3 linked regions of the Oryzias latipes genome follow. The main gene of each other region encodes a partner of the protein of the gene in region 2 in a complex. Links are inferred from orthologs where the notes say so. Each region holds a gene or a part of one and is shown on either strand. Other genes may lie near its edges.

Region 1 (4,354 bases), on a different chromosome or scaffold from region 2:
GCTGAACTTTTCTCTGGGTCACACAGACCCGGAGGAAGGTTTAGGTTTTGGTTACGGTCACGGCGGTGCATCAAACGGGTTACGGCAGCACACCGCTCCCGTCCCGCGGGACTCGGGTCAGCTGAGGAGAATAAATGTCCCACACCTACATGCGTGACAGCTAACGGGGCTTGAACTTTAAACACGCTCGAGCAAAAACAAGATTAGTTTTAGACACACTGAAAATACGTGGGGAAAATGCAACGATAGACGTGTTTGAGATGAACCGGCACCTCGCCTGGATCGTTAGGGAGACCAGGCGGGGGGGGGGGGGGGGGGGGGGGGGGGGGGGGGGGGCACTGTGAGATGAAGGCGAATCTGCAGCAAGACTGAAGGACAACAGTTGGAGTTGTCCTTAACATTCAATTTAGTTTTAATATTCTTCTCCCCCTTAGTATGATCTGTGTTATTATATATTTTATGATTATTTTAATGTTTTGTGATGTATGTAGCCTTTTTAATGAATTGGTATTTTAAATTATTTTAATTAATCACTCCACTACAAAAACCATCAGGACACATGTCCCATAATGCATTGTTTTGTAGTCTCTAGTTTCCAGCTGTGTCCGGGTAGGTTTGCCCCTTGCTCCCACCCCTTTCTCGCGATATTTTTGTGATGATTGACAGTTGATGTTGGAGCAAAAACAAAAATATATGTCTCACACCAGGTGATCTGTGCAGCGTTGAGTTCACCTGGGTGATCTCAAACACACTTATTGTGCATCTTGGCTGCACCTATTTGGTGTCACAAAGATAAATTTCCATCTGTTTTCTTTACTATTTGTACTGTCATGACAGCGATGGTGCTGTCAGTTTACCTTCTTGTTGCATCTTCAAAAGTGAAGAATAAAATGTGACACTGAATTTGAAACAGCACATTTTAATTTCTGCATCTATTATTAAAGTATTTATTAGTAATACAGTGGAAATGAATAGATTTGGTTAGCATGTTGATTTACGGTATGCGCCCCTAGAATTTTCAGTTAGGGGCCACAGTGCTCCTAGTGAAAAAAGTTAGTCTGGAGCCCTGATGTGGCATAAAAATCAGAAGCTCCTACTAAAACTGAAGGACCTGCAGCCCAAACCAGCCAACGCAGACTCACCGGCTCCTCCACCTCCCCTGACGTGTGCTGTGCTTCAGCCTGCAGGTCGATGGGAGGCGCGTCCTCCACAATCCTCTGCACGGACATCTGGATGAACTCATCGAAGGAGTCCAGCTGCTGCCGCACCAAACCCTTCTCATCGAAGTACGAGCTGCAGAACAGACAGCAGTTCAGGAAGAGCTCGGAGAGCTGCAGCGGATCAGAACCGTCTGCGTCACATCCTGCACCAGAAACTCACAGAACCGATGATTAAAAGAGATGACTGAAGAGGCTTAAAGTGTAAAAGATGATCAGAAAAAGGTTCAACTTTTCCTTTGTTTTTTATTGAACTCTATCTAAACAGCAGTTTGGGTTTCTGATGCAGAACGCTCTGGTGACTGCGTGACTGCTGCGTGTGCGGCAGCAGAAACCCACTCATGTTTTGTCACAGTGGGCCTGACAGGTGAGCTTACCTGATGACGATCCAGCATGCTTCCTGCCACAGATCTGGGGTGATTTCATCATCGTCTTCATCATACTGGTTATCTAACAGACACAGAAATGATGAGGCCACATCCACACTAAGACATTAAAGGTAACTGACAGCAGCTGGTCATCAACACTGAGCTGTTGGTTCCTTAGGGTTACGCTCTAGTTAGTTTGGTGGGTGTCCGTCATCGGTCTGGACTGCAAATAAAGGTTTGTTTGTATATGACTGTGTTATCATGACAGAGGGAGTGAGGGTTTATGTTCATATTCCTTCTCTACATCCTAACTACTTAAAAAACTATCTATTGCCCTGGTTATTAAAGCCAATTAAAGCCATGTTTACTGCTTTTCTTTTATGGCAAATATGACATTTTATGACGTAAATCTGAACATGTTTGATGATGACCATCATCATCATCATGATGATGGTTAATAGAAATTCCTTTAAATACTTTTTTTTCAAATGAAAAATTGTTCAAACGCAATGCATTGTGGTCCAAATTCACCAATCAAGTGACCATCAAGGCACACTGGTTTTTCGCAGAGACTTCTGGGAAATTTCTAGCGATCTGGATTTTGGAATTGTAGATTTGGATTATTCGGACAGTCACTTAACCAGAATCAGTGAGCGTGTTTACAGGTTAACAAACAGACTGAACAGATGTTAAAGCCACTCAGCTGCTGCTCCTGCTGCTGTGGAGCGGCGCTGCTCCTGCACGGCAGTCACCTCCCACAGCATCCCACTGACCAGGGAGGGTGGTGGGCCCATTCCCAGAAAACAGTCTTCTTCTTCTTCAATTCTCCAACTATTCAATGATGACCATATTGGTGAACAAACATTTCTGGTTTGGCATAAAATACTTCAAAATATCGCGACAAAGTGCTAATGTTTCCCCCCAGCCGGACTGACTAAAGTTATTTGCGTGTTTCCTAGTCTGCTCGTTTTCCACGCGTGTTTTTCCCCCCTGGTTACTACGTGCGTCTCGGTTTTAAGAGTCTGTTCAACTACAGAAAGTCCGGTTCCAGAAACTTGCTGCATGCAAAGAAGCTTCAGACAGGTTTTGGTTGAACAACATGGAACATCATGATCATGGATGGAGGAGACGTTCGCCATGCGTGAGCGTTCACGCGCAGCTCTAACGGCGCTGCGTGGAATCCGCGCCTCACCTTCGTCCTGGTCGTACATGATGGCTTCCGAAAATCCCTCAAAACAAAGACGGCTTCAGAAAAAAGAAGACAAAAACACGGAGAAGCGGCGCGCAGCCTGACACAGAGACCCGGAAACACTTCTTCTTTTTCTGCGGGGTTTCCGGTGTTTGGCGGTCATCTGCTGTGACAGCGCCCCCTGCGGTTGAGGCCAAGAACAGCAGTGTGCGAAGTGCAGTTAGTAAAACAAATGTAACAATAATAAATCAGACATCAAAGCTAACTATAGATACTTAACATTTTACTCTAATATCATTAGGTTTTCCCTTCAATCAGTGTTCAACTTACAATGTTTAAATATCCATAAATTCAAGAAATTGTAGAAGGAAACTTTTGTTTCTCAATATGGAGATGAGAGGACTTACAGGTCATTTTGTGTTCATGTAAATCCCAAATATAAGGATGTGTGAACTTATAACTAATGTTTTTGTTGATAATCAATGACGCTTGGTAGTGCATCTTAATGGTCTAATGTAACGTGCATGTGTTCTGTATGCATTAATGCAAAGCATCTATTTATAATTATGAATAAACACACTGTCAATATGATAGCATCATCTCATTACATCTTTTTTCTTATCAATTATTACTTTTTATCTGAAATGGATTTAATCTGTTTAAATTTTGGATTTCTGTTCTTTATTGTATAATTCCATGATTTCAATACTTAAAATGAATCATAAAATTAACTATAAAAAAATAATCACTGCAGTTTAACAAGAGGCCAAGTGGACTTCACTTCCTGCCGGAAGCCTTTCCTCTGTGTTGATTAGAAAATAATGAAGTCACAGGACTTTTTTGAAAGGATTTTAAGTATGTTTGATTAAAATTAACAGTAAATTTGAACAAATTGACAAACATCCAGAAAGTGAAGCTTTTAGTAAAACATGAGCAGAGATGCAGCAGGTTTTACATCTGATCCGTTTTCCTAACATTATTTAAGTTCACTATCAGAGGTTTTAAGGTGTTTCTGTAAAAAAGAAGATGGTAGAACCCAAATAACGTATAAATCCAGATCCATCTGAAACAGACGTAGCCTGTAAGTGTTACAACCCTCTGCTACATAGTGGAGGGAAAAGCAGAAACTCTTCTATTGATTGAAAGATTGTCTAAAAATGAGATTTTATTTTTTCTAGTACTGTTGGGAATTTTATGTAAAACCAGAGTTTTATAACGATCTATTTTCTGTACCATCAGTGAATGGAGTCTTTGATGAGGAAAAGCTTAGTCATCACAAACGGTCCTATTGTTGCAGCTTTTAATCCCCCTCCCAACACCTACAGAACAATTCTAATCTTTGTAGATAATCTGGGTTAGCTAGAACTGTATTTTTCATAATTGACACATCAGAAGAGAGAGAACTCCACCATCAACTGCAGCTCATGTGAAGGACGTGATGTGATGGATTTGAATGCCACTCTAGACGCTGCAGGAGGACCAAGAACCACAGAAAGGAAGGGATTCAACCATTTATACAGAATTCCTTTTTACAAAACTGATGTTTAGTGTAAAGCTGCAGGGGGTGGAAGTCCAACATT
Region 2 (3,277 bases):
ATAAGACAGAAAAACATTTATGTAGCGCTTGTCCAGCTGAAGAAGAAAACTAAAAAGGAACACTTACTGGATAATAAGAGCACAGTTTGGTGCGGCTTTCAGATCTTTCCAAGAACGTCCCGTGAACTTTTAACAATAAATAGATGATGCGCACCCCTCCCCTTCTCTAGTGTGACTGGCATTTTGAGACTGCAAGGTGTGCAAAAGAAAGACGTATGTTGCAGCTATCGCACGCCTGCACCGTCGATCCGCGTCTCACACACAAATGAACAGAAGAGACCTCGCTGCTGCTGATGCTGCTATGGATTTCCTGGACTGACTGAGCTCACGGACGTCGATAAACCCACAGTGCAAGTCCTCCCACGGCTGCAGCTGACTAAAGGAAGAGCGGAGATACACCGGCGTGGCAGCCTCACATCTTCTATGCAATCCCAAAATGAACTTTGGGGCTTTTTGAAAAAAAAAAAAAAAGATGGAATGAAGCTCCAGCAAAACGGGGTTAAACATCTGTGGATTAAAATTGATTTTTGAAGATTGTTTTTGTACCTTGTTTTTCCCAGGAGCCTCGGATCTGACGCTAAAAGATAATTTTTTAAAAAGATTGGACTACATAAAACAATTTGGAGCACCATTTTTCATTTTTCACATGGAAACAAAACTACAACCAAAAAAAAAAGCTGAGTCATTCTAAAAGGCAGCGGTTCTGACTGGTGGCACTAAGTTTGGACTTCCATGAATCCAGTCGACCGATTACAGTGCATTAAAAATGTGTGTCTATCGGGTTATGAGAGACCGCAGAGTTCCTTCTGGTCCGCAACACCTGTACGACATGAAATGACTGTTTTGGGGGAATTTTGTCAGAAGAAGGCAGAAGCCTTAAAGGGAAAAATAAACCAAAAAAGCTCTGTTCACAGGCTCTCCAGTGTCCTGTCGGTTTCTCATCCCGTAAACGCTGGTCGAGTGTTTTTCCACGTGTCATGTCTTACAGCAATCCTTTGGGTTGGATGAGTTCTCAAAGACTCTCGCTTTACCTTCCTGAAGGAGTTCGGACGCAGGATGTGAAAGGACGCTGAAGTATCAGTTTGCTGGATAAAAACAAGTTAGGAGTTCGTGCTTCGCCCGTCTCCCCCGCCTCACCACTCGGCGTCTCCGATGGATTTGGAAAAGACATAATCTCTGCCGTTCAGGTTCATTATCCCGTCTTTCAGGTGGAACTTCCATTTGTTCTTACTTCTGTGGATCTGAGGAGCGAGGAAGAGGAGGAGGAGAAGAATGGGAGAGTTCAGAACAGAGGGATGCTGCTGGAGCTTACCCTGATGCTACACCGCCGATCACTTCCATTGAAAAAGTCTAAGTAACCCTTTTGGGCTTCCGCGGTCAAAACTGTCACATTCACGGGTCGCTACACGTTTTTAAGTCAAGGAAACAATTGAACGCACGCTGAACGTTCAACCAATTGACTCTGCTTTAGTAGGGACGTATGGATGGCGTCCTTTTCAAAACATGGAAGTGCCAACCCTTTGATTAATTGATTATGAGGGAGTAATCAATAACTGTGGCTTGTGCTCGGCTAGAATGACGTCACATCAAGTCTTTCATACATCAGACTGAAGGAAAAAGGCCTGGGGCAAAGATTTGCACTGCTTCAACATTTCAGACCAAGCCTCTTCCAACGGTGAGTGCGTGCACCGGTAGCGACAGTCCAGTGTGAACACCGATGGCTAAACGTGAACGTAGCTTGACGCTCATCTCCTACCTTGTCATACTGGCACACCACGACATTCTCCGTGTCGAACAGCTCCTGGTTTTCATCATCACTGACATCATCTCCACTGTTCAGAGGCTCCTGGTGACCAAAAAACCCAAAGACTTCAAAGATCCACTCCAATCATCTTTTGATCGATTTTCAAAGCGTTCCCAGTGGTCTTTTAAAAATTATTACGCAGCTTTTAACCCCCCCCCCCCAAAAAAAAAAAAAAAATTTGCAGGGCGGCAAAAGTTCATTAGAAATTTGCCTCCGAGTTGTGGGCGGGATCAGTGACGTGGAGCGACCTCATCCCACAGCAGAGGACTTGGAGCAGGAAGCTCGAGGTATTATCTACGTCACAAATACGATCTTTTTAAACCGCAGTTGTTGGTCGATTAAAACGATCAATTTAATAGGTTTATCTTAAGATCCATCCAGGTTTATCTCTTCGAGGCAAGTTGTTCATTGAAACGCCCTACACCATAAAAAAATGTTTCAAAATGAAATGAATACTCAATCTTAGAAAATACCATTTGGATTGAGACTTGGCAGGTTTATTTCACTACAATGTAAAAAACGACCATCACATAGACATGATGTCAGCAAAAAACGATCGGTTCCATCATTCCGGTCCAATGAGTGGAAACACTCAATTTAGCAAAGTCATGTGACCATCCAGTGTGCTAGAATGTTCCCTTTGGATTACCTGGATGTGGAAAAACATTAGTGGTCCAAACTTTAAGAAACTAAAATGTAATCTGATTTGAAATCAACTGTTGTTTACATGTTTGTACACATTTAATTTACACTCAAATATCAGTACCCAGGTGCCGTTCAGTACTCAGGTATTGTTCAGTACTCAGGTAAGTCACACTAGTGGAAGTTTTGGCTAAAGATGGATCTGTTTTAGATCAGCGAACTGGATCGTTCAAACTGAATAAATAGACTTTTAATCGTCTTGGGGATCACAAATTATGACAGGAATCATCTGTGAAATGCTCAGAAATACAATTAGAAGCTTAATTTCCGTTATAAATGCCACAACAACATGTTAAAAACACCATAAACCCTGGACTGGCTCAACACTCACCTCTTCAACTTGCCCGTCTTCCCCACCGGTTTTATCTTTCTCCTCTTCGTCATCTTCGTCGTATTCCTCCTCTTCGTCCTCGTCTTCATCAGAGGACGAGTCTCCAGTTCCATCCAGCTGCACCATCATGGCGGGCTGCTGCGCCTGCGGTTGGGCCTGAGGCTGCTGCTGCGGGGCTGCCGGCTGGGCTGGGGCCTGAGCAGCGGCCACAGCTGCCCCCTGCTGGACCTGAGCTGCTGCTGCCTGGCCGGGCTGCGGCGCCATCGCTGCTGCTTGCATCACCTGGCGGCAGCCAGAGATGAGAGCAGAGTCATTACGTAAACCTAGAGCAACATCCCACAAAAAAAATAATAATTGGGAAAACATTAATTGGTGCTCTGACCTGTGTGGTCCCTTGAACTTTATTCCCTGGAGCCAAAACGATCTGCTGCGGCTGAATG
Region 3 (2,915 bases), about 4.9 Mb from region 2:
ATTTTCCTTAATTTTTTTAAACACATTTCCAAATACTGCACATTCAGATAAGTTTATTTTACAATTATCTAAAAAAAAAAACAGATCTGTACAAATACATGTTTTATTCTAAACGGTGCCTTGCATTTCCATTTTATTTTTCCTCATAAATGAGTTATGAATTTGTAAAATGTGTATATTTTGTGTTTTTTTTCTTCAAAGGGAATGTCACTTATGTTTAAGATGATTTTTCTTCAGGTGTTTGTAAAATGTGCTGCTTGTACATGAGGCTGTAAGGAGACTTGTAAATAAAGCAAAGTGTCTATGAAAATGTCTTAAAAACTGAATATTAAAATATTTAAAAATTGTATACCTGGCAGAGGGATACTAACTTAAATAAGTCCTAGTACAGTTTTCCTAGGGTTTAAATATGCATCGTGACCACCACAGCTAGATATATTTTACATTTTTAAAGAATTTCTGGAAATTTTCTCACCCCAATACCCATAAAAATATGGATGCAGGTATAATTACAAACTACATCACTACAAGTAATGATAGTTATATGTAACCCATAATCCAATTTATTGATCTTTTTTAAAGCATGTCAGAAACAAATCCAGTCATTCCATAGCTCAAAAAAACAAAACAAAAAGATTATCCTTAGGAAAGGTCAAAGGTTATTTCTGCGTGATGGGAAAGGAATTCTGGTCCATCAAGTCTCCGACTCTTTCCTGCAGGGTTTGGACCACCTCTGCCAGGATGAAAACGTGGGTGTCATCGAGGTCCTTCAGGATGAACTTCCTTCCTAAAGCCATGGTCTCATCCAGGTAAAGGAGGAACTGTTTCATGGCGGGGTCACTAATTCAATAAAACACATCCCATCAGACACAATTGAGTTCTCAAAATGTTAATTTACAGAACTTGTTAAAAAAATAATGTTTGTTAAAACTTTACTTACCATTCAACGAGAACGCCTTTGTGAACGTTCACCATGTTCACGAAGAAACGGTCCCTTTGTTTAGCGGAGATGTTAACTTAACGCGAGGATTTTTTAACCTGACGCATAAAAACAAGTAAAACAAGAATTCTCTGTCAAAATAGAACGTTTGTTTTTGAAGTCTATACAGATTTTAAAGGTTAAAAAGTCTCATTGTGACGCGCTTTTTTTTAAAGCTAATCATCACAGGTAAACAAGACTCAGATAAAAACAATTATAAAATGCTTTAAAATACACCAAAGCTAAAAAACAACAACACTAAAATAACAAACCTGTCTGTGTTCCGGGAAAGATGTTAGTGGAAGTAAGAGAATTCCTTTTTATAAAAGGTAAATGTATGACAGAATATTAGCACAAATTCTAGGCTCCTAACACGATGCTACATGTCCCTGTATGGTGCGGGTCAAGGGACAATTTTCTGTGCTTCGACAACAACAATGCAACGCATGCGCACTGCTGCTAGCTTCAATCGTGGAGTGTTATTTTATTTTTTATTTGGATTTTGTACTCTTGCAGAAGTTACTTTCATTGACATGGAAACAAACATAATAAATAAATAAGATTACCAAAACATTTCCCAGGATTTAGAAGTTCTTTAAAAAATCTTTTTGGTTTAAAATCAAAGCTAACGATCACGTATACCAGAATAGAGAGCTTCCTTTTTAGTTTTTGATTCCTAACCAAGTTGCTCCGCAAAAAACTTTAAAGGAAATTAAACTGAAGCTATCAAAATGTTATTTTGCAAAATCTTGGCTAAAACTTAACTTATATTGCCCAAAAAACAGCATTGTAGGCTGTAAAAAATAAAAAGCAATATTTCCAGTGTAAAAACCCTAATTTAATATTTAGCAAAAACACAAATGAAACTGAGATTTTTCAGTAATTTATTGACAGCGATGGGAATTTTTAGTGGCAATTGTGCTACGGCAAAATTCAATCACATCATTACTTAAAAAAAATAAATGTTTTTTTAAATAGACAAGGAGGAGTCTATGGTAAGGCTTAGGAAAAGAAATACATTTTGGCACCAATTATGACTGACATTGTGCTTTTTGGGGGATAAAACTCTCAAATATAAAAATAAATGCGGGGAAGAAATTCTTTTCAGAATATTACAGATCATTTACGTAAGTATTACATCTCAGAATAATAATTAAAATATTAACAATCTGTTTCCAACTCTAAACATGACAAAAAACTGTAAAAATATTATTTGCAAAAGTGATCCGATTTACAATTAAGTTATTCATGAGGAGTGAGTTAAAAATAAGTCTCGTTATCAGAGCTGAAAGTTTTCATTTAAGTTAGTCTAAATATTGAGTGATCCCTCACACTTCACATTATTTGTTCATGTTTAACAAAAGACATCCCGGAAGGGGGGCATGTGCATATTTTTTCTCTCCACAGTTCAAGTATGCAGTAGTCTGCATCATTGTCTTTGTGCGGATAAAGAGTCACTGGCTGCTAAAACTCTGCAAGGCCTCCTGGATGAACTGGAGGCTGCGTTTGTACAGAAACGAATCCTTCTTCTCTGGCTTGCAGATGTTGAGGTGATCCACGTTTACCTCGACGAGTTCTCCGATGCCGAGGTCTGAAACGAAACCAGGCTTTCATATCTCCATCTACAGTACAGAGGAATACCTCATTTCTTATTGACGCTGGTGTTGCATACCTGCGGACTGTTTTGGCACCACAACTATTTTGATCATAGGTCCGACGTTTGTGGCCTGCGATTCTGCGAAGCTCATCACCTTAAAGTCATTTTCCTTTGCGATGTTCACAAAACTTTCATTCAGACTGGACAAAGCTGGTGAATCTTGACAAAAATGAAAAATGTTGGTAAATAACTATCCTGCACTGACAAAAAAAATCCTTGAGTTATTTTGCGTACTCACCTTTACAAAGTTCTCGGACTTCTATAGATGGAAAAAGAAGG

Evidence for each region.
Region 1: gtf2a1 (region 2) and polr2b share a complex: the UniProt entries of both Homo sapiens proteins name them as parts of the TBP-based Pol II pre-initiation complex. The link is inferred for Oryzias latipes from reciprocal best matches to the Homo sapiens genes GTF2A1 and POLR2B.
Region 3: gtf2a1 (region 2) and gtf2h5 share a complex: the UniProt entries of both Homo sapiens proteins name them as parts of the TBP-based Pol II pre-initiation complex. The link is inferred for Oryzias latipes from reciprocal best matches to the Homo sapiens genes GTF2A1 and GTF2H5.

What each region holds. Positions count from the first base shown.
Region 1 is NC_019868.2:3,851,831-3,856,184, forward strand, and holds the start of polr2b (DNA-directed RNA polymerase II subunit RPB2), read right to left. Parts: upstream 2,913-4,354; 5' UTR 2,797-2,912; coding exon 2,778-2,796; intron 1,668-2,777; coding exon 1,595-1,667; intron 1,294-1,594; coding exon 1,143-1,293; intron 1-1,142. UniProt on the Homo sapiens protein: Catalytic core component of RNA polymerase II (Pol II), a DNA-dependent RNA polymerase which synthesizes mRNA precursors and many functional non-coding RNAs using the four ribonucleoside triphosphates as substrates.
Region 2 is NC_019882.2:4,167,665-4,170,941, forward strand, and holds the end of gtf2a1 (transcription initiation factor IIA subunit 1), read right to left. Parts: coding exon 3,220-3,277; intron 3,120-3,219; coding exon 2,838-3,119; intron 1,847-2,837; coding exon 1,757-1,846; intron 1,242-1,756; coding exon 1,134-1,241; 3' UTR 548-1,133; downstream 1-547. UniProt on the Homo sapiens protein: TFIIA is a component of the transcription machinery of RNA polymerase II and plays an important role in transcriptional activation. TFIIA in a complex with TBP mediates transcriptional activity.
Region 3 is NC_019882.2:9,073,161-9,076,075, reverse strand, and holds gtf2h5 (general transcription factor IIH subunit 5), read right to left. Parts: upstream 1,393-2,915; 5' UTR 1,252-1,392; intron 1,039-1,251; 5' UTR 976-1,038; coding exon 941-975; intron 841-940; coding exon 660-840; 3' UTR 535-659; downstream 1-534. Other genes in the region: protein SERAC1, read right to left, coding at 2,434-2,570, 2,652-2,795, 2,875-2,915. UniProt on the Homo sapiens protein: Component of the general transcription and DNA repair factor IIH (TFIIH) core complex, which is involved in general and transcription-coupled nucleotide excision repair (NER) of damaged DNA and, when complexed to CAK, in RNA transcription by RNA polymerase II.